Regions from separate parts of the Mus musculus genome. Here all the other regions are reported to be linked to region 3. The links are microRNA targets in miRTarBase. Many come from high-throughput screens and were not tested one by one. Region 3 holds a microRNA gene; each other region holds the end of a gene's coding sequence.

Region 1 (4,520 bases), not on the chromosome of region 3:
ATAACTATACCCTTAAATCTTTGCACTTGTAGGGAGCTGTGTCACCACCCTGAAGTCACTGTTTGATGCAGTATCGCTGGTTCCCGTAATTAGGAAACATGAGCTCATAGGAGAGGATAGAATCCACACAGGAAGCTGGCACCACACGTTCAAGTTTATTGTACAGTCACAAGTTACACACTGGAAACAAAGCAGAACATGGTACCTGCTTTTACTAACTCAAAACAAGTTAGCAAATGACAGATTTCAGGAGAGACTCATCTTATGTCTCACCCAATGTGGGTGATCACGAGAGAAGCCAAAAAAAATTATCTTCCAGGTTACTTAGCGAGCAAAAGAATTTGATACACACAGCTTCCAAGTTACCTTAATATACTGAAAGTGTTTTAAAACTGGTAAGGAATAGTTCATCTTCCACCTAAAATAAAATGCAGATTGGATGGTTTAGAGGTAAAAAAAACAAACAAACAAAAAAAAAAAAGCAAAGAAAAAGCAAAAAACAAAAAATTTCACCTATATATCTACAACTACAGCAGAGTTGTTCTTTTCTGCTAACAAAAAAATACTAATAAATTTCGGATTAAGATTACTAAATAGTGACTTATATTTAAGTTTCGTTACATTGTTATATTGCACTTAAGAACAATGACAACAAAATTCAAAGATTCAGTACCTCACAGGAAGTCCATGACATATCAGAAATTATAATGAATGCCAGTGTATACTGCAGATGGCATAGCCACAGGTTCATGGTTCAAATAAAAGGACCAAGTCCAAAGAAACCTTTACAAATTACTAGACATCAAGCAATTGTATTTGTCTTTTTAGATCCCATAATACATTTTGGTCATCTCCCCTTACTCATCAAATTAAATGTACAAGCTAGCCACGAGTAAGAACAAGGTGACACAGAGATAGGCAATGGCCACACACAGAGACTCTAGAACAACTTCCTTTCCTTCTCCTTGAGGCTCTCCCCAGAATTCTCTCAAATGGGGATGGATGCCACCTTGGCCTTCTGTTGCCCTACAAGAACCAGTTGCTCTACCAATATATACTTTGCCACTAAATTCCCTCCTCGGGGTTAGACTCACTACAGAAACTCACACTGTTCTCGTAAGGCGGCAACAAACTCTTGTCTGCTCTTAGTGATTTTCCTCATTATATAAATAATGTATTCATGAGGATTTACTATTAATAAGTAATATTGTAATACAGGTAGATTTAAGACAATATTTTGACTGTTTCACCTTCCGTAGTCATTCAGAACACAATCAGAATTATGATGATAATTAAACATAAGGGAGGAAAGTAACCCTCACACAGATGTTTTAAAGTACCAACTCTAAAATAAATATCTCTATAAGAAATCAGTATCCACGTTAATATTCCTCACATGTGTCAAATGTCCTCTGGATCAATCAATTTCTTTAATTAACCTATATTATGAAAATTTTATGCTTAGAAATAAATGTTAATTATTGGTAAATTACAAATATGAATCTAAAATAATCTCTTGCTATTTTGTTGACTACATGCCTATGCTGTTATGGGATAAAGAGTATCTCAACATTTTTTTCAGAGTGTTAACTCTCAAATTACAGTTCCTAAGTTTACAGAGATACAAATTTATATTTTTTAAAAGAAAATCCATGCTATTGTTGAAAACTACATCATGTTAATTTCCAATTACAAATATCTTTCAATCTCTAACAGAAAGTTATTCCTTGGCATAGAAGCCATAATAGGAATAACTGTAAAAATCAATATTGATTTTTACAAAGAATGAATTTCATTGATTTTCAGGAATGACAACTATTATGTTGACAGACAAAGAAGGTAAAAGTTTGTATAGGCCAACTTAGTGACCTGTGTGGTAGTCCTAAGTAGCTTAGAGACACTTGTCCCTAAGACCAAAATGTTTCTTAAAAGAATTTAAATGTATTGGTTTAAAAAAATAATTATTGCATATATGATTATGATCTTTCAAGCCAGAACTCATTAATTTAAAATTTTATTAAAGCTAAATATAGGGTCCTGTCTATATTCTAATTCGTACAACTCACATAAATGTGCTTCATGTTATGAAAATATATTCTCCAAATTAGCTCATCCATATGCACATGGAATTAGCCTAAGATACGGTGAGACAAACTTCAATTACTTTTAAAATGTAGAAAAATATTCAATTATTTAAGAGAAATATTTTTCATTGCTTAATGAGGACAGCATTTTAAAAAGCTATTAAAATTCTCAACTTCCAATGCATAACATGATGTAATTGCACAAAAATAGAGCTATAATTGATAGTTATCCCGGGGCCTTGAGGAACTGTGAATAAATCACCACCACTTAAGACGGTCCCGTGCTTCCTCTGCTGCCTCTATTAAAGTCCCAGAAAGGTAATTTAAATTAAAAAATGTAAGACAGAGTTAGAAGGTTTAAGGAACAAGAACTGCTTACAAAAACACCTTTGTAGCATTCTTTCTGACAGTGGAGGCAGGTTTTATAGATCACCTTGCTTAACCTGAGGTTCTACCATGCTATTGCTAGAAACCATCCCATGAGCCACCTTTGGAATGTGGGTCCCAGGCATCTCTCGTGGGGTAAGGGCGCGAGATCCAGGTTCCTATAGGTTATGAAGAAGGTCTTGAGCCATTCTCAGTTTTGGAAGTGGAAGGAAAATATGAGGACAGGAGGAAAATAAATTACTAATAATTAAACGCTCTGGTCCAATTAAAGAATGTCTTTTTGATGAGCAGTTAGAGTAGAGACCCATGGAGAGTCTCCAGGGCTTTTCCACATTGCAGGCAGCCAAACAAAGGGAATAGATGTACTTCAAAAACCCCTTCCAACTCCACGGGCTTCAGTCAGCAGCAGCAGCAGCAGCAGCAGCAGCTGAGACCACACTATTACTTAACGGGTATTTTTAATTATAAAATTTTCTGCAGGAAACGACTTAAAGGATTTGATGTAGAATTTAAATTACAAAAGTTAAAATACAATAAGACACAATGCAGACTACACATAAATAAAAACCTAACTTTCATATAAAAATACTGTACCATTGTTAATACAGGAAACTGCTGGTTTTCCTCCCAGTGTGCAGGATTGAACCCAGGGAGTTGCACACGCTTCGAAGTGAGCTATAGTCCCAGGAAAGAATTTTGATGGTATCGTGTTATTTAAAAGTTCTACTGTGTAAATGATATTAAAATCTAAGTCCATGCAATTGCAAAGTCTTCAGTAGCTTATGAAGTCAACTGTAGTGTAATGTGTACCTGTTCTAAGTGCCTGTGCAAACTTACTGATGGTCTAAATTTGAACTGCTTTACAATCCTAATTGCCCTAACGTAACGTCGAAGAGAGAAACCCCACACAGTCAATTAGGAACAGTAACTGAAGAGGTACTATGCTATGTAACGTGCTGACTCAGTGCTGTCTGTCTTATGTACACTGAACAAAGATAATCACTTGAAATTCCATCACTTAAGTCCCTAAGAACACACGTTAGTGTAGGCGAAGTAAATGTAATCTGAACTTATTCATAAAGAGAAGTCGACAAATATCCATTTCAATTTTGTGGATAAACTGAGACTGCTGGGTGCTCTCAGCAATACAGTCCTGGGATTTCACTGTTCACGAGAGATGTTGAAATCCACCACCACGGTGGTGAACTTGGAGCGGACAGAAGTGGCGCCACTTAAGAAGCACCTTAGGTTTCAGAGTTTCCTTCGCCATTCTCATGAGGCTGAAGCTGTTCTCTTTCTTGCTCTTCTTGAGGTGGTCGGACACGTTTGAAAAAGCCCATCTGCCAGTTAAAGAAAAAGCATAGTTCTAGCTCAGTAACAGATCGCTGAAAGTATGACCGACTCTATTATCACCTCGAAAATTCAAATGGCGTTTTTGTTTAGTGTCCCATCCTGAAATAAGCCCTGCTCACCAGGCAGCAACACTGTGGGTCCTTTTCTCCTTTTCTTTACTCCCTTCATCCTGTCCCTTCTTCTCTTATTCCATCCCCCTACCCCCTTCAACGCCCATTACTTACCCTGTACATTACAAATACCAACACAGCCAGTAGCAGCAGCCCTGCGAGAACTGCCAAGATGATCACCCACACAGGCACAGGCATGGGCGCCGGCTGAATGCCCCAGGTGATGTTAGTGGTGACCTGTTGCAGAAAACACACTGAGTCTTAAATAGCTCACTGGCCTAGTCAGTGAGTACTCAACTTTCTTTTAATAATAAATTTAGTGGTAGTCACACCACGTTCTTTTTCTCATACAATCATTTAGTGAGTGCACGTTAGGCATCCATAGCACATGCGTACACACACACACAAAAGCGCACACACAAGACTCTGACAATAGGTTGACATCAGATTTAAATTGAAATGACTAGTAAATTTCCCAATACAGATCATGGCAGCTGATCCTATTTTCAATACTTAGATATCTTCAAAATATGTTTACTTAGCAGTAGTTAGTTAGTAGTTAGTAGTTAGTTTCCAACCTTATAAC
Region 2 (4,520 bases), not on the chromosome of region 3:
CCCTTGTGAGTTAAATAACAACTGGATTGAGGGTAAAGGTCAGGAGTGGGGGTTGGGGGGTGGCAGGAGGCAGGGATATCTGGGAGATGTCCAAGTCCTGGGGTTGGCCTTGCTGCCCAGGTGAGACTGGCTCTCCCTGGCCTCTCCTAGCCCTCCAGGTCACAGCCCACCTCCTCTTACAGTTGGCCCCATCTGGCTGGCATCCTACCTGGCAGGACCAATAGAGCAAGACAAAGAAACACAGGGGCAGCACGGGAATGAGGCGACCTTGACCCAGTTCAAGTTTACTGGAGAAGAGGCCCTGTTTTACCAGATCAATTGGTTGGAAAAAAAAAAAAAAGTCAGGATGCATGACAAAGTCCTTGGACTGCAAATGACATCAAGAAAATGAGTCTAGGCCGGGCATGGTGGCGCATACCTTTAATCCCAGCGCTTGGGAGGCAGAGGCAGGCGGATTTCTGAGTTCGAGGCCAGCCTGGTCTACAGAGTGAGCTTCAGAGAAACCCTGTCTTGAAAAAAAAAAAGAGAGAAAAGAAAAAGAAAAAAAAAATGAGTCCAGGCCTTCTTCCCTAGTGTTTCTGACTCAGTCTAATGTGCATCAGACTGGCACACAGGGGTGACAGTGTCTAGGAGCTGGGAACAAGACCCACGTTACAGCTGGGCATCGGGTCTGGATACTGAAGCAAGCCCAGCTCCTTCCTAGAGGGAGGAGTGGGAGGCTTGGAGTCAGCTGCTTCAGGGATTTTTACAGAAACATTAATTTCACGTGTGCAGGTGTCATGTGTGTGTGTGTGTGTGTGTGTGTGTGTGTGTGTGTGTGTATGTGTGTGCTTGCGCATGCGCACCACAGAGCTCCTGTGAAGGTCAGGGTCTCCCACCATACAGGTGGCTGAGCGGGAACTCTGGTCATGAGGCTTTGTCCTTAGGGCACTTTCACCATGGAGCCATTTCAGCAGCCCAGCTCCAGAGTTTTAGGCCGGCTCTGTGGCTTACCACACAGATATAACATCCATTAGGAAACACAGAGGCATGGAAAGTCAGAGCTACGCACTTTCACCAAGTTCTAAAGCTGGCCTTGTGTCCGTTCCAGCCTCACCAGCCTGAGGCCTTTGTCCCCACACCTACCCTTGCGTCCTCAGCTGCTCTGCACATTCCTCATTCTGCATTCTGAGTCCATGACTTTGTAATGAACGTAAATGTTCACACACACGCTTGTGTGTATAATGTTCATGTGTGTGTGCAAGTGTGTGAAAATCAGAGGTTGACTGGTGTCTTCCTCAACTGTTCGTTTTTTCCTTTTTAAGACAGGGCCTCAGCTGGGCAGTGGTGGCACATGCCTTTAATCCCAGCATTTGGGAGACAGAGGCAGGCAGATTTCTGAGCTCGAGGCCAGCCTGGTCTACAGAGTTCCAGGACAGCCAGGGCTATACAGAGAAACCGTCTCAAAACAAACAAACAACAAAAAGACAGGGTCTCACACTGAGCCTACTGACTCAGCCTGACTAGCTGGCCAGAAAGCCAGACCCCTCTCACCTCCTTAGTGCTTCCTTGTGCTTGGACAGCAAGCACTTGACTGACTTGCCATCTCCCCAGGCCTTCACTTTTTTTTTTTTTTTTGAAAGATTTATTTATTATCACACATAGTAAGTACACTGTAGCTGTCTTCAGACATACCAGAGAGGGCATCAGATCTCATTACAGATGGTTGTGAGCCACCATGTGGTTGCTGGAATTTGAACTCAGGACCTCCAGAAGAGCAGTCAGTGCTCTTAGCTGCTGAGCCATCTCTCCAGCCCCAGGCCTTCACTTCTAATGGACTCTACTCCATCAGAGTAATTAATTGGAACCTACTAGAGCCTGAATTCCCAGCCATGAAACTTAACCGGAAAATGGCGACTGGAGAAAGTCCCCTGGGCTATGGTGAAGTCTAAATCCAACAATAAATCTATTATACACAGTGACTTCCAGGAAGCTGCGGAGGGAGTCAGTGAATACAAACCCTGAGACTGGGCGTGGCTCAGTGGTAGAGCACTTACCCGGTTCTGGGTTCAATCTCTAGCAAAGGGCTGAATTCCTTGAATACTTCAGGGGAGATATTCTGAAACAGAACAGCTCTATTAGTTTGTCTTCATGCCACTGAGCATTTGAAACCTGCTGGTAGCCACAAAGACTTTTCTAAGTTCTCGCTATAGCGGGTTGAATAATGTCCTCTCCAATCATGCCCTAAGCACGTGGCCTTACGGGGAGACAGTCTCCGCAGACATAACTGATTAAGATGGGATTATCCCGGGCAGTAAACCCAACGACAGATATCCTCACAGATACATACACAGAAGATGCTGACGGATGGTTTCCAGGACCAAGATTGCTGTGTAAGTGATGGCGCACACCTGTAACCCTAGCTCCCTAAATAAAGGAGGAAGCAGGGAGACCTGCAGTTCTGGACATCCTAGTCTACATGACAGCTTTGTCTCAAAATAAAGGGCTGAGAGATGGCTGCATGGTTAAAAGTTCTAGCTGCAAATCCAGAGGATCCTGGTTCAATTCCCAGCACATACACGGCAGCAGCGCACAACCACCTTTAACTCCAGTTCCAGGGAATCAGCCCTCTTCTGGCCTCCCTGGGTACCAGGAATACATAAGAGCATAAACATGCAAGGAAAAAAGAAAATACAAAATCACAGGCCAAGTACTGTATCAGCTCCCAGAGCTAGCTAGCGGACTAAAACTGTCCTTTTCAGGCAGCTCTGTGAGAAGACTCCAGGAAACTCTTGGGGAATCTACCGCCTAGGTCAGTGCCCTAAGGGTCCCTACCCTGCATCCTTAGGACCATCCCATCTCCACACTGGCCTTCCATCCTGCCCTCACCCCAACCCATGCCACCTGACCCCACTCTGGCCACTTCTGTCCTGCTTCCCCCAAGCCCTGGAGCTACAGGCTACACTTGTCACTCCATGACTGTAAGGCTGCAGTGCCCTGCTTATGAGTCCAGTCTGAGGATTTAGGAGCCAAAGCAGCCCGGGTCCAGCAGCTCACTCCAGCTCAGCTTACAGCACTTGCCAACACCAAGCACAGGACACTGGCACCGTGGACACGCCTTCAGCGGGGGTGAAGAGCGCAGTGGAAGGTACCCAGGAGGAGAAGAGGGCAAACCCTGAACGTCTCCAGAGTGTTGGGTGGTACAGAAGAACTGGCAGTGTCCTGGCTGACCAAACCCTAGCTTCTAGCTGAGACAAGAGCTGAGGGAAGGTCTGAACACAGGAAACGCAGCCATTTACTGGAAAAAAATAACCAACTTTTAATTTAACCAATCAAACTGCGTCCAGGAATGTCTCTAAACTTAACAAAACAAAATAAAATTCTCCTTTTAAAGGAACCAGGAGTTCACACAGCCCCACGCCCCTAAGGTCCAGACCAAAAGTAGCCCATTTTGGAGGCGCCTCTGTCCCTCAAACTCTCATCCAGAGGAAGAGCTGGCGATGGCGAGGGACCTGTGCCTTCCTCCCACCATGCAAGTAGTTCTTAGAAAGTCACAGTGGGTGAGCCTCTCCCACCTCACTTTGTGTCCACGCTGAGACCTCCAGAGAGGGGCAGGCAGGATAGCTCCACCCCAGCCCACTCAGGCAGCTGTTCCCAGTGCCAGGGTGGGAGTTAATATGTACTGGAGGAGAAAATCTCAAATGTCCCATCATGTCACATGTTCCATGCAAAGGAAGCAATCCACTCCTAACCTAAGAACAACACCGGCCAGTTCCGGCCTCAGAAGACACGTTCAAATTCCGTCTGGTTGGTGGTGGCGGGATTTCTGCTCTGGTTGGTGGACTGCTGGGTGATCTGGCTGCCCTTCCGCCGTGGCGGTGCCAGGTACTCAAACATAGACGTCAAGTGAGTAGACAGCATGCCCTTGAGGTCCGAGGGCATGGGGTCCGACCAGAAGAAGTCGTGGTTGAGGGCATCGTCACTGTCAATCCGCTGCGCGGGGTCCAGCACCAGCAGCTTGTCAATGAGGTCCAGAGCATAGGGGTCGCGCACGTAGGCCTTCAGACGGTCCTTCACCTTCCGCTTCTGGCCCTTCACAAGTTCCAGCTTTTCAAACAGCTCATACTTGTCTACGTTTGGCCACACCTAAGAGAGGCGTTGAGGAGAGAACGGAGTTGGAGTAAGACTGCTATCTGAGATGCCAGGGGAGTGGGTTTCTAAAACAATTTCTCTCAGAGGTTCCCTGAGCTCCCCTCCATCGCAGAGATCATGTCTTCAAGTTAAAAGCACCAGTCACCAGATGGAGCACACCCCTAGTGCCCGAACACAAGTCAGCTGCGATAAATGTGCCAGCCCCCATCCAGGCACATTCCCATTTTACAAACAAAAAATAAACAAAACAAACAAACAAAAAACCACACGAGCTGGGCAGTGGTAGCGCACACCTTTAATCCCAGCACTTGGGAGGCAGAGGCAGGCGGATTCCTGAGTTCGAGGTCAGCCTGGTCTACATTGAGTTCCAGGACAGCCAGGGCTATACA
Region 3 (4,520 bases):
GAAAGTGATTAAAAAGATACACACAATTGTATAGTAAGGCTTTGTGATCATCCTGAAAACCATTATCAGTGATCTTACATGGAAAGCACTAATACTACCTAGAACCTATCAAAAATAACTGAATTAAAGAGCAGTACTTTACCTGGAAGATTTGTCGGTAGTCCAACTGTCTAACAGCTTCTTGAGTGAGATATAACATAAAGCATGAAGATATGGAGGTATCATCCATGTAGGCTAATCATCCCAAGCAGTTTTCATCACTTCACCAATTACAGCATGACATATTAACATTGATTTATTTATTTTCAACTGTTTGGGAATACAAAATATACTTTGTCACCTTGCATGATAAAGGAAGACCTCTTGACCTATAGCCAGATAGCCAGTGTGACTTTAAGATTAATCAGTGATATACTTTGCAAATGACTTTTAAAAACTAGGTAATGAAAATCTTCTAAAAGAATCAGAATATTGGGAGCATAGGATGAGAATACAACACAATTGTACCTGTATATCGCTGTTCAATTACTGGAGAAAGTTACAGAATACAGAAGATAGGAACTTGGTCTATTTAAATTCAAATCACTGATACCATCATAATTTCAGTGACTTGAATTTAAATCTGTTTGGTTCTTTTTCACTTAGGGCCATATTTATAAAGGAAGACTCTAATTACTTGTAGCTTTTCAGTCCACTTTCGTGCACTCATCATCTAAGTTGTCACAAGATATTTGAATTGATATTCAGTTGGGCCTGAAATCATTGATTGGTTTTATTTCTGATATTTATATTCATGATCCCTATTGAGACTGGCATGCAATTTTCTGTTCTTATAATTTGTATAATTTGGGTTCTGTGCAAGCTAGAATAATGCTAACTTCCACAACATTTAAACTTAAAAAAAAAATGAGAGCATAGTTTCTTCAGGTACAAGGAAGCAGATTCTGGAGCCATAATAAGGATGTATAGTTTCTTCATCTTTACTACCCAAGGCCACAACAAATGAAGAACATGATGAGCTTTACTTTACCCAGCATGGTGGCTTTCACCTACACTTCACGTGATTAGCAACCATGTGAGTAGAGCACTGCCCAGGTACTCTAGAACCAGCCCATCTGAAGTCTTTATTTCAACATGTGAAATAAAATTGAATAGAACATTGAAGTAAGTCGTCAACAATAATTACTTTTTTTTTTTAACCACACATTCTTCTTCGAAGCTGTCTTCTCATGTTCCACCATTAGGATTTTTCTTAGTATACTTCTAAAGTTCTACAACCGTTCTCTTCTCTATGGTTATAGATCTGAAGATATCATGAAGATGGATGAAGTATAATCCAGAATCAGTACATTTATCTTCTCTATGAAGGCATAATATGACCATATGGCTACCATCCCTGCGTTTGTTGAGCCTTACAATACTGAGAGCTGTTGCAGTTACTTATAGAATAAAGTAACTGCTACTTCTCTCAGCATTATAGTGCACACGAATTATTATTATTATCAGCTGACTTCAAAAACAACTTTCATGATTCTTCTCAGTATGACATGAATGCAATGTTATTTCTTTACACATAATTCCTCAGGAAGTATAATCATATTTTCCATTATCTTCCATCTCCATTTCAAGGTATCAGACTTGCTTCTTTCTTGATACTCCTCGAATCTGTATGAATTCAAGAGGTTAAGAATTAACAAGTCATAGCCGGGCGTGAATCCCATCACTCGGAAGGCAGAGGCAGGCGGATTTCTGAGTTCGTTTAAGGCCAGCCTGGTCAACAGAGAAACCCTGTCTCAAAAAAACAAAACAAAACAAAACAAAAATAGAATTAACAAGACAAATATTCTTATAAATATATAGGTCAGGTGACACCAAAGAATAACAAATGAACAAGGCAAGACCTCAAGATACCTGCAATGATTTAGTCATCAGCATCAAGAGAATATATCAAATGAAGGCTTCAGTATGTATTAATCTGTACTTTGAGATAGCATAGACTGATCCTTTGTACTTCATCTCAACAACAACAATTTCATCCAACAGCTTTTATCACAATCTTCACAATTAAACACACCCCCACTAAACTGTGTCTGTAAATGTTTGATTTCACACTTAAGCTGATGATATTGAAAATCCAATTGATTTTGCATGTACATTTCACATAAAAACCTGTCACTACCCTAACTTAAAGAGAAATGATGATCACAACAAAACATATTCTTTTATCAAACTTAATTATAATTATGACCAAAGTGAATATGAAATTGTAAAGGATTAATAAAAATATAATTTAAAAAATGTGGATTTTAGGTCAAAAGTTTTATGGGTGGGTTCGTGTCCTTATCTTTCACAGGAGGTCCTGCCTGTTTATAGGAGGTGGCCTCTTCAGGTTCCATGTCCACATTGTTAGGCATCTCAGCTAAGGTCACACACAATGGCTCCTGGGAGCCTTCCCTATCCTAGGTCTCAGGGTCTGCTTAGAGATTACCTCCACCCGTAAGTCCCCTGCAAGATAGAGATTTCCATTCATTCTCCTGGGCCTATGGGCCTCTTTCTTTTCCCTTCCCACACCTGATCCTGCAAACATATCCCCCTCACATACCCACATTGCTCCCTCTGCCTCCCATGACAGTTCTGTTACCCTTTTTAAGTGTGATTCAAGCATCTTCAATTGGGCCTTCCTTCTTGTTTAACTTCTTAGGGTCTGTGGGCGTATGTCATGGGTATAAGTATGTACATACCATGCATGTTCTTTTCTGTCTGGGTTATCTCACTCAGGATATTTTCTAGTTCCATCCATTTGACTGCAAAACTCAGGATGTCCTCCCTCTTAATAGCTGAGTAGTATTCCACTGTGTAAATGAAATACATTTTCTCTATCTATTCTTCAGGTGAAGAATATCTGGGTTGCAGTATTGCTGAATCTTCAGGTAGAACTATTTACAATTTTTTTGAAAAAACACCAGATTGATTTCCAGAATGGGTCTTCAAGATTGCAATCCCACCAGCAATGGAGGAATGTTCTTCTTTCTTCTCCACATCCTTGCCAGCATCTGCTGTTGCATCAGTTTTTTATCTTAGCTATGCTGATTTGTGTAAGATGGAATCTCAAAATTTGTCCTGTCTAAAAGAAATGCAGGGACAAAGATAGATCAGAGACTGAAGGAATGGCCAACCAATAACTCGTCCAAAGTGAGATCCATCAAATGAAAAAACACCAATCTCTGACATTATTAATGATACTCTGTTATGCTTGCAAACTCTGTTATGCCTTGAGAAGTTCCAACCAGAAGCTAAGTGAATAGATGTAGAGTCCCACAACCAAACATTGAACAGAGGTTTCAGACGACTTATGGACAAGTTGGGGAAAGGACTGAAGGGCCTGAAGGCAACAGGAACACCATAGGAAAACCAAATATGTCTACTAACCTGGACCACTGGAAGCTACTGGAGACTTTTTCACCAACCAATGAGCATACATCGGTTGGACAAAGACCCCTGGCACATATGTAGCAGAGGTCAGCCTTGTCCTGCCTCTGTAGGAGAGGATTATCCTAATTATGCAGACTTGATGAGCCTGGATGAGGGGCAATGGAAGAGGGACTGTAAGGGAGGCAACATGAGATATAAATAAAAAACATGATAAGACCAAATTTAAGTATTATTTATCTATAAATCAATCTTTGTAGAGACTGTGCTAGAAGCAAAACTTCACCTTGTGTGAGGAGCCGCCCTCACATTTGCCATTATAAGATGGCACTGACAGCTGTGTTCTAAGTGGTAAACATAGTCTGCACACATGCAGGGGCAGTTTTCCCACCATGTGTTCTGCCTTTCCCGTGATGACAACTGGGCCGATGGGCTGCAGCCAATCAGGAAGTACTACATCCTAGGTGGAGGATAATTCTCCTTAAAAAGGGATGGGGTTTCGCCATTTGCTTGCTTGCTCTCTTGCACTCTGGCTCCTGAAGATGTAAGCAATAAAGCTTTGCCGCAGAAGATTCTGGTTTGTTGCGTCTTTCCTGGCCGGTCGTGAGAACGCGTTAATAAGAATTGGTGCTGAAACCCGGGATCGAACCAGGGACCTTTAGACCTCTCAGCAATGCAGGCTTAGCGGCTGCCATCCTTCAATCCCAAAAATGCTCCATGGGCAGAAATGATCGGAGGACATGTTTTAACTGCAGAAAGCCTGGGCATCTTAAGAAAGATTGCAGAGCTCCAGATAAAAAGCGGGGAACCCTCACTCTTTGCTCTAAGTGTGGCAAGGGTTATCATAGAGCTGACCAGTGTCGCTCTGTGAGGGATATAAAGGGCAGAATTCTTCCCCCACCTGATAGTCAATCAGCTTATGTGCCAAAAAACGGGTCATTGGGCCCTCGGTCCCAGGGCCCTCAAAGATATGGGAACCGGTTTGTCAGGACCCAGGAAGCAGTCAGAGAGGCGACCCAGGAAGACCCACAAGGGTGGACCTGCGTGCCGCCTCCGACTTCCTACTAATGCCTCAAATGAGTATTCAGCCG
Region 4 (4,520 bases), not on the chromosome of region 3:
TGTCACATTCCCTAGAAAGTCACCCCTGAGCCAGATCTAGGGTGAGCCATGGAGAAGACGGCCCCCTGGGATTGGCTGCCATTGCAGAAAGCACAGCTAGGCACACCTGTTGCACTGGCAGGCTGCCAAGCCTGGCATGCAGCCCTTAGACTGACTGCCAACCTGGTTCTGTCCACTTCAGAATCTGATCTCTAGCTGGGAGTGTGGCTCAGTAGAAGAGTCCTTGCTCCTCATGTGGGAAGCCCTTGTTTTCTTCCTCAGTCCTGCAAGATGAGTAAACCAACCAACAGTCAGAATCTGATTCCTGACCCATGACCCCTGACTCCTGACCCCTGACCCTGGCCTGTGTCTCAAGCATCCCTTTCCCAATATGTGCTGCTGTACTTCAGGTCTCCAGCCCAATGGAAAGTGGTTATAACGCCCTGAATGCCCATCAATATTTTTGTTGTTGTTTGTTTGTGAAGGAGTCTCATTATGTAGCCCTCCCTGGCTAGCCTGAAACTTGCTGTGTAGACCAGGCTGGCCACAAACTCACAGAGATCCACCAACCTCTGCCTCCTGAGTGCTGGGATTAAAGGTGTGTGCCATCACACCCAGCCAACAGTCATAGCACAGATAAGCAGAAATCAATGCACTTCTGCTTAGTTTTTGAGTGTCCCCGTGGAAGCCAGGATTCCCTGCTAATTGCTGAAATGGCTGTTTTGGATGAGTTTCAGAGACACTCTTTCTTTCTGTAGTGATGGTTAAATGAATGCCTTATTTACTGTGTTTTTAGGTTCAATAGATGACGTTTTCAACTGCAATCTGTCACCCAGATCATCGGTTACAGAACCACTTTTGGCAGAATTCTCATTTCCAAGTCTTCTGGAATGTGAAGAGACATCCAGCCAACTTATCTGATTGGTCTGAACATTCAAGCTGTCGCCCTTTGGGGGTCTGTGGCACACAGTGGGTTAAAGGGGTAAAAGAAGGCAGGGAGTGGACATTTCTATCCCTTTGCCAGCCTCTGGCCCTCCAAGGTTCTATAGAGGACCCCCTTTCCCATCCCTAGGCACTGGCAGGCCCAGTGGCTTCCGTCAAGGTTATGATTATGGGATGGAAGGATTTTGTCTCTGTGGCATAGGGTGTCATTGACATTGAACACTTCTCTGAGGAATTTTCAGGGGTAACCAAGCACCCATGAACTTTGCTTAGTACCCTGGCACTCTGAAGACCCTCCTGGCAACCTCTGTGGGAGGCATCTGACTGGGATGCTAACCTGTGATGTATCCTGGATCACAGAATGGCCCTCTGCAGCCAGCAGCCCCAGCAAGCCTTGGGGCTAAACTCTTCTCTTGCAAATATGTCAGGTAAAGCCAGTACTGATATTTCCCTGGGAAACAAATCTGATGTCCAACCTGCCACTGGAATGAACATTCAAGATACTGGCTGCTGAAGGATCTCTGCAGGCCACCAGGATGAGCCCTCCCTGAAATGTAAAGCCAGGTGGGGTGCCAATCAACCAGTGACAAGGGAGGGTCCTCCTCCCTACAGGTACACCGTAGTAGTTGGTGTTTGAAATACACTTTAACAATCTTAATATGAGAAAAAGAGCCCAGGGAAACTAAGCCATTACCATGGTACACTGGACATCAGGGCGCTTTCTGCCCCACAGCTCCAGTGGGATTCACTGAAAGGGGAAAAAAATGATCCAATCCACATATAAAAGTTTGCGTGAGTGGCCGGGCCTGGTGCCTGTAATTCTAGCACTCGGGAGGTGGAGGAAGTAGAATGAGGAGTTCAAGACCACCCTTGGCTACATCAGGAGTTCAAGGCCAACTTGCTCTGTTACTACAGGAGACTGTCTAATAAAAACAAACCTGCATCATTGCACATGTAAATTTGCACCTATACTCATAAGAAGGCAGATTTATGGGCCCCTAGTGGCATCTTTTCTGTCCTTCTAAAAACATATTCCCACACTACATATTTTGATAGCAAGGTTGATGGCCAGCCATTTGTATCTGAGATGCTACCTAGTACATATGCACAATTAAAAGTTTTCTTAGCGTTCAACTTGTAATGGATTTAATTTGTGGCTAAAAAAAGGTACAGGGTAGCCCCTTGAGGTCTGTGGGTGGTGTGGTTGCTCTGTGGAACACTAAGAATGGGAGGGTTGTGGCTTTAACAGCTGCTACCTCAAGAAGGGACTTAGAGAGAGAAGCCATAGAGTATTTGGAGAAAGAAAATGAAGGTTGAGAAGGAGAAAAGAAAGTGTCACTTCGTCATAGGAGGATAAATATGTTATTAAATTCAGTAAAAAGGAAAATAATAAATTCTAACCGGTTCTCCAATCAGCAGAAATAAACCTTGGGTACACAGCAAGAATTAAACTCTTCCCAAAGGAAATAAAAACTATTCATAACATTGACAATTTTCTTTTGAAACTGAACTGAGAAAATAGTCAGTAATCACCCCAGGAAATGGACTGAAGATCTGGGAAGTTAATTTCATCATTAAGATGTCTTAGTTGGGCTGGAGAGATGGCTCAGCAGTTATTAGCATTGACTGCTCTTCCAGAGGTCCTGAGTCCAATTCTCAGCAACCACATGGTGGCTCACAATCATCTGTAATGGGAATCCGATGCCCTCTTCTGGTGTGTCTGAAGACAGCTACAGTGTATTCACATACATTAAATAAATAAATAAATCTTAAAAAAAAAAAAGTCCTACTAACAGGCATTGTGGGTCCCTTGTTTAAAAAAATCTTTTTTTAGTTGATCCAAAAGTTAAAACACACTGGATGATAGTGTATCTTATTGACAAATATTTCAAATTAAGATTGGCAAATCTATAAATTGGTGAAAACTCTTCCTGGCTGAAAGAGGCTCCAAACTGGACATGCACATGGCCTGGTGTGGACAACCGGCATGTAAGAATAGTACAAAGTCTGTAGGATGACTGTCTTACACAGGGTTTCTATTCCTGCACAAACATCATGACCAAGAAGCAAGTTGGGGAGGAAAGGGTTTATTCGGCTTACACTTCCATACTGCTGTTGATCACCAAAGGAAGTCAGGACTGGAACTCAAGCAGGTCAGAAAGCAGGAGCTGATGCAGAGGCCATGGAGGGATGTTCTTTACTGGCTTGCATCCCCTGGCTTGCTCAGCCTGCTCTCTTATAGATCCAAGACTACCAGCCCAGAGATGGTCCCACCCACAAGAGGCCTTTCCCCCCTTGATCACTAATTGAGAAAATGCCTTACAGCTGGATCTCATGGAGGCATTTCCTCAACTGAAGCTCCTTTCTCTGTGATAACTCCAGCTGTGTCAAGTTCTCACACTGTACAATGGCTTTACGGCTTGTGGTCACCCAAGCTCCTATTGATACTTTATCAGCAGTCACCTGATCTTGCATCTTGATTAGCATATATTAACTACACATACTGATGATGGGTTTCATGATAATTTCATACATGTCCACAATGTGTTTCAATTATATGCACTTGCCTCCCCTGTTACCTGATAACCCTTCTACTCCTTCTAATTCCATGGTTGTTTTCTGAGAATTTCTATCTGGGGACAGTGACTTTTTCTAGGGCTCCATAGCTGCCATGGCCTTCGTGACACTGAGATCCAGAAGGCCTCAGGAAGGTCCAAGGTCTGTGGTGGCCCATTCCATGTGCCTGCATGGCTGAACTAAGGAGACTAGATTTGGTCAAGCATCATTCTGGATGCTTCTGGGAAAGTCAACACGAAATTGCTGAATTTTGAGTAAGGCAGGAAAGTCCTCTTTAATGCAGGTGGGTCTTACTTAGTCACCTTTGGGTTTAACTATGAGAGACCTCTCTGCAGCAAGAGGAAGTCTGCAAGTGTTCACAGCCTTTGGGCTGCAGCTCTGCTACTTACCGAGTCTCCACTTAACTGCTTCGTCCTAGATAGCGCGCCTAAGAAGGTCCAAAAACCCTGTGCAATTTCTTAAAGCAAAACTGCAGAACTGAGTATCGGATAATCCCAGCATTCAGGAGGCGAGGGAGAAGGACCAAGAACTCATAGTTACATAGCATGTTCAAGGCTAGCCTGGGATATGTGAGGTCTTGTGTCAAAATAAGCAAATACCCAAGGAGAGAGAAAGAGAGATGGAAAAGAGAAAGGGAGGGAGGGAGGGAAGGAAGGAAGGAGAGAGGGAGGGAGGGAGGGAAGGAAGAAGGGAGAGAGGGAGGGAGGGAGGGAAGGAAGAAGGGAGAGAGGGAGGGAGGGAGGGGAGGAAGAAGGGAGAGAGGGAGGGAGGGAGGGAGGGGAGGAAGGAAGGAGGGAGAAAGAGAGAAAAAGAATGAATGAATGAATGAATGAATGAATGAATTTCTTGCTCATTTGTTTCTAGAATCTTAACACAGAATGAATCCACAAATTTGAGATAATGTCTTAGGAGTTCACCAATTAGCTAGAAAGAACACAATGTATTTTTCACACATTACTCGATGCAAACAACACACGCTACCTAGTAACAGTGTCTAACTTAAATCCAAGAAACAAAGCAGA
Region 5 (4,520 bases), not on the chromosome of region 3:
TTAATAAAGGAAACCCAGGTTATCAGGCAGGAATAGGAAAGTGCATGAGGAGAGTTTTGAGTGTGCATATGCTGTCGCCTGAGAACAGACCCAGGTACCCGTGGCTGAGCTGAGCTTCCTCTGCCAGGGAACTGTGGCACACACTGCACTCCCACTTGTCTTGCCGCCAGCATTGCACCAGCAGTCCAGAATTCCTGCCTGCCTGAACAAATGATTTCTAATTATTTTACTGCATACATGTTTTATCTGTATCTGCACCATGTATGTGTGCATGCCTAGTGCTTGTAGAAACTAGAAGAGAGCGATGGATCCCTGGAACTGGAGTTATAGACAGGTATGAGCTGCCACACAGGTGCTGAGAATCAAACCCATCCTCTGGAAGAGCAGTTATATTCTTAGTGCTGAGCCATCTCTACAACTCCAAAAGATAGTCTGAGGCCAAAGCTACTTGAATGTCTTCCAAATGAGGTGAAGGCTGGAGGAGGCCTGGCACACTTTCATTCCTGCGGTGGGGAGGAGGAAGCATGCAGATATCCATGGGTTCCAGGCTAGCCAAGGCTACATGCATATTGAGACCCTGTCGCAAAACACAACAGAAGTCAGTAAGATGAAACTTGTACTGGGGGAAATAAAACAGAAAAATCCCTGTCAGGTTTGGAACAGGATGGAGGATCTAGCAGGAGTGTCCAGCTACATGAAGCATCTGAGTTGGAGGCCACCCTGGACTACAGAGAGTGAATTCCAGGACAGCCAGGACTCCACAGAGAAATCTGTCTCAAAATCCAAAATAAAATAAAATCTGTGGGGCGATGGTGGTGCAGGCCTTTAATCTCAGCACTTCGGAGACAGAGTCAAGTGGATCATTGAATTTGAGGCCAGCTTGGACAAGAGTTTGTTCTAGGACAGGCAGGGCCACACAGAAAAACCCTGTCTTGAGAAATACTGTCTTGAAAAACCCAAAATAAACAAATAAATATAAATTTAAAATTCAGGGTTTTTTTGTTTTGTTTAACCTTCAACAGAAAGGTCCAGATAGCTTCCTTACAAGGGGTTAACAGATGGAATGTTCTTTTCTCTTGTAGGGAACTGATGGTGTAGAATATTTATTAATTCCTGTTGACAGCGGAATATTGGCTGATTTCTTGGAGAAGGAAGAGGAGGAGGCATAGGCTGTCTCTTATCCTTGAACTTTCTGTGGAAGCCTCATTGTGGCCCAGCTGCTGCTCCTCAGTAAGAATGCTGGTTTACATCCAACATTAGGTCATTCTCTCCAGCATACAAGATGTTCTATGGAAGAGGCATAGCATCAATTTGAACTTTGATTAGCCTGGCTGGTGTACTGTCTCTAATACTATGCAGTGGTCGTTGAGTTGGATAAAAGTGCCTTTAATTTATTACTTCTCTGGAGACTTCTTGCTGGTTGTACAGTGTGCTCAGGGATTCTTTGGAACTGGATGGTTTTGGGTTATTTTATACTGAATGCTATCCCTAATTTTTGAGGGCAATTTAACACTCCAGAGCTGAATTACTACAAGTGCACTTGCTTCAGACGGTCAGAGGACAAGAGTTCAGAGTAGCGTTCTCACGGGACTGATGAGGAAGGAGGTGTCCTGCTTCTCCTGAGATGATGGTAGAAGATGTCAGTGGACTGAGATGACACAGCCTTCTCCTTGTGGACTTAGGCCACACATGCTAAATAAAGACAGCCAGCACTGTTCAAATGAGATCACGGGAGAAGTACAAGGGATGTGTGCATATGTGGAGCATGTGTCCAATCTAGAAAGCATATTTAAAATCGTTGGTATCGGTACCAGGAGAAGCCAGGCTAAGAAATAAAGTCCTGATTTACATTTTATTGTTTTCAGTACAGTAGAAAATAAAAACATTTCATCATTCTTGTACATTGACATTTTCTATTTTCTTAAATAGCTCACAGGGATAGGTAGCGCACACCTTTAATCCCAGCACTCAGGAGTCAGAGGCAGACGGATTGCTTCTCTCCTTTAAGACACAAGACCTGAGCTCACATTTGTAATACCAACATCAAGAAGGCAGAGGCAGAGGAAAACATGAGTTCAAGACCTAGACTAGTTAGTGAGTTCTAGACCAGTCTAAGCTGCGGTGATGTCCTGTTTCAAAAACAAACATTCAGTAAATAAATACACATTGGTAACATGAAACCTGCTGGTCTGCACTTTGCTTGTGTGGAATGTGGTATGTGGGTGTCTGTGCAGAGACTGAGTAAGATGTCTTCTACCACCTTCTGCCTTATTTCCTTGAGACAAGGCCTCTCTTCACTGAACCAGAGCTCCTTGTAGGCCAGATGGGCTGCCAGTGATCCTGTCTTCACACCAGTACTGGTGTGACAGGCACAGCCATGCCCAGCTTTTTGTGAGTGCTGGGATCCAAACTCAGGTACTTCTTACCCACTGAGACATCCCCCCAACTCCATGTACTTTCACAGTTTTGCTTAATTTCTCTAGTGTAACTCCTACAGTATAAACAAACATCTGATTATAGAATGTGACATCTTTGCAGTTGCCTTTATAGTTTTTGTTATTAGATGTCGCTCTTAATAAATCAAAGTGCAGTTTGCAGAGTCCTTTTGTAGTTTTGTTTTGAAGTGTCTGGCAAGGATTGAATGCATCGTACAAATCTAATGGGTACCTAGGCAGATCGCTATACACTCACCCCCTTCTCTGAGCAGCATTGTCCCTTCATGCCTAGCAGTTATAACCTGACTTGAAGCTCTAATTCCTGCCTAATTGGTTTCTGGGCTGGAGGTGTAATTTCACTGGGGGAACTCTTGATGTTATTTTAGTTTTTAGGTTAGCATACAAAAGTAATGGATTCCCTTATGCCCTTTCAAATACATAGTATCCCTGTATTGGTTCTCATCTGGCCCCCTCCCCAAAAGCCATGTTCCCTCTGCTTTCTTAGCATGTGCATCCCATCACCCTCATTTGTTCTTTTTTTTCCTTAAAAAAAAAAACCTCGTCCTGTCTCATCCCTTTTTGGTTCTATCACCTGTGTGCACCTACGTACACACACCACACACACATACATTCTAGGTTCTTCATAGAGAAATACAGTGTGTCCTTTTTTTAAGGTTTATTTAATGTATGTGAATACATTGTAACTGTCTTTACACACACTAGAAGAGGGCATTGGATCCCATTACATGTGGTTGCTGGGAATTGAACTCAGGACCTATGGAAGAGCAGTCAGTGCCCTTAACTGCTGAGCCATCTCTCCAGCCACCCCTTCCCCCCGGGCACCCCAGTTTCTTTCTGGGTCTGGCTTGTACAGTGACTGCAGAAAATGCTGGGTAGTAATCAGTCATATTTTGAACACTTAACACCATTAATTAGGAGGAGTTTGGAGTTCAGTGGTAGAACACTTGCCTTCCATTCATAGAGCTAGAACATAGTCCAAGAATAGTCCAGTCCTGTGAGGGACTTCTGAGTGTTTGTGAGAAAACAGTTTCTTCAAAAACACAAAATTGTTCTTGGGATGTGCTTCTGTGCCCTTCCCCAGTGGAGCAAGCAGATAGGAGTGAGGTGACTTTAGATCATTCCTTACAGTTGGCTGGCTATTCTTATTGTTCATACACCTCCATGGAAACCATGGTTTTGCTACATGAGGCTTGTCCTTGTGATTGTGCCTTTATTCAGTTGACTCTTAGCCCTCAGAGTGTAAATTGTCCGATGGCTCTGAATAAACTTGGCTATTGCGTGAGACATCAGCTCACCTCATTTTTAGGCCCTACTCTCAAGTCCATGCTGCCAACTAGAGTGGTAAACAGTGTCCAGTTTGATCCCTGCACCACCAAGAAACAAAACAAAAATTAGAGAAGGTTTGCCTTTAATGTACTCTTTACAGACAGTTTTACCGAATGAGCTATGGCTTTTGTTGAGCCAGAGTCGTGAACTGAAATGAGAAGTCCAATACAGCTCTGCAGAGGGTGGAACACCAACTCCTGCACAGCCGTTTCAATCCAGGTGATCTGTGGCTTCTGTCATCATGGTGTCCTTGACGTCCTTGCATTTAAACCACACGGAGAGGGTCCCTGTCTGTCTCAGACAGGATAATGTTAATCTTATTCTCAAAGTGAACACCCAGCATTTCTTGAAGCTCAGAAAGGAAGCCTCTTTCAGTGTTGCTGTGTTCACAAAGGATGACATTGATCCCTTTGGAAGCAGCATCCAGAACATCATGGTGGGACATTTCACCTGAGAAAAAGGGAAGAGCAGCAACTTAGATATCAGACTCAGTCTGAGCACTCTGGCTCCTTCAGCAGAAAGCTCCTGTTTGTATTCTGGATGAGTGAACAAAGTTCTGTATTACTGGGCACAGAAATGGAAGACAAATGGTATGGTCAGATGTAGGATGTTTGCCTCGGGTACAAGGTCCTGTGTTTTGCTGCTGAGCACAGAAAAAAAGTTCAAACTCAACTGTACACATCACTTTAGGATGCTGAGTCATATCTCTGTTGAAGAGCAAGGACACAGGAATGGAAC

The links. Region 3 holds the annotated microRNA mmu-miR-883a-5p (UGCUGAGAGAAGUAGCAGUUAC, at 1,453-1,474, opposite strand). A microRNA usually pairs through its seed, bases 2 to 8, with sites in the 3' UTR of a target mRNA and lowers its output. Matches are read on the target gene's strand: a 7mer-m8 pairs with bases 2 to 8, a 7mer-A1 pairs with bases 2 to 7 and ends in A, and an 8mer does both.
Region 1: miRTarBase lists Itgav as a target of mmu-miR-883a-5p. Seed matches in the 3' UTR shown: 7mer-m8 at 2,898-2,904.
Region 2: the mRNA of Cdk9 is a reported target of mmu-miR-883a-5p. Seed matches in the 3' UTR shown: 7mer-m8 at 3,571-3,577, 7mer-m8 at 3,227-3,233, 7mer-m8 at 2,485-2,491 and 7mer-A1 at 1,775-1,781.
Region 4: miRTarBase lists Medag as a target of mmu-miR-883a-5p. Seed matches in the 3' UTR shown: 7mer-A1 at 2,527-2,533 and 8mer at 2,576-2,583.
Region 5: the mRNA of Nif3l1 is a reported target of mmu-miR-883a-5p. Seed matches in the 3' UTR shown: 7mer-A1 at 3,239-3,245.

Annotation. Positions count from the first base shown.
Region 1 is chr2:83,802,531-83,807,050 of GRCm38, reverse strand. It overlaps Itgav (integrin alpha V), which reads right to left. Exons shown (of 30, transcript NM_008402.3): 29 at 4,049-4,171; 30 at 134-3,811. The coding sequence ends at 3,716. Among named protein-coding and RNA genes, the nearest start is that of Fam171b, 7.8 kb to the left of the region's middle.
Region 2 is chr2:32,704,165-32,708,684 of GRCm38, forward strand. Cdk9 (cyclin-dependent kinase 9 (CDC2-related kinase)) reads right to left here. Exons shown (of 7, transcript NM_130860.3): 7 at 1,618-4,125. The coding sequence ends at 3,760. It also overlaps a transcript of Fpgs not described here. Among named protein-coding and RNA genes, the nearest start is that of Cdk9, 6.4 kb to the right of the region's middle.
Region 3 is chrX:66,779,351-66,783,870 of GRCm38, forward strand. Mir883a (microRNA 883a) reads right to left here and starts at 1,483; the gene lies at 1,408-1,483. It overlaps Mir742 (microRNA 742), which reads right to left and starts at 1,087; the gene lies at 1,023-1,087. It also overlaps the pseudogene Gm14681.
Region 4 is chr5:149,429,012-149,433,531 of GRCm38, forward strand. Medag (mesenteric estrogen dependent adipogenesis) reads left to right here. Exons shown (of 5, transcript NM_027519.4): 5 at 776-2,712. The coding sequence ends at 900. Among named protein-coding and RNA genes, the nearest start is that of Tex26, 8.4 kb to the right of the region's middle.
Region 5 is chr1:58,460,853-58,465,372 of GRCm38, reverse strand. It overlaps Nif3l1 (Ngg1 interacting factor 3-like 1 (S. pombe)), which reads right to left. Exons shown (of 7, transcript NM_022988.3): 7 at 3,097-4,232. The coding sequence ends at 4,048. It overlaps Orc2 (origin recognition complex, subunit 2), which reads left to right. Exons shown (of 18, transcript NM_008765.3): 18 at 1,083-2,602. The coding sequence ends at 1,169. Among named protein-coding and RNA genes, the nearest start is that of Gm23966, 3.5 kb to the left of the region's middle.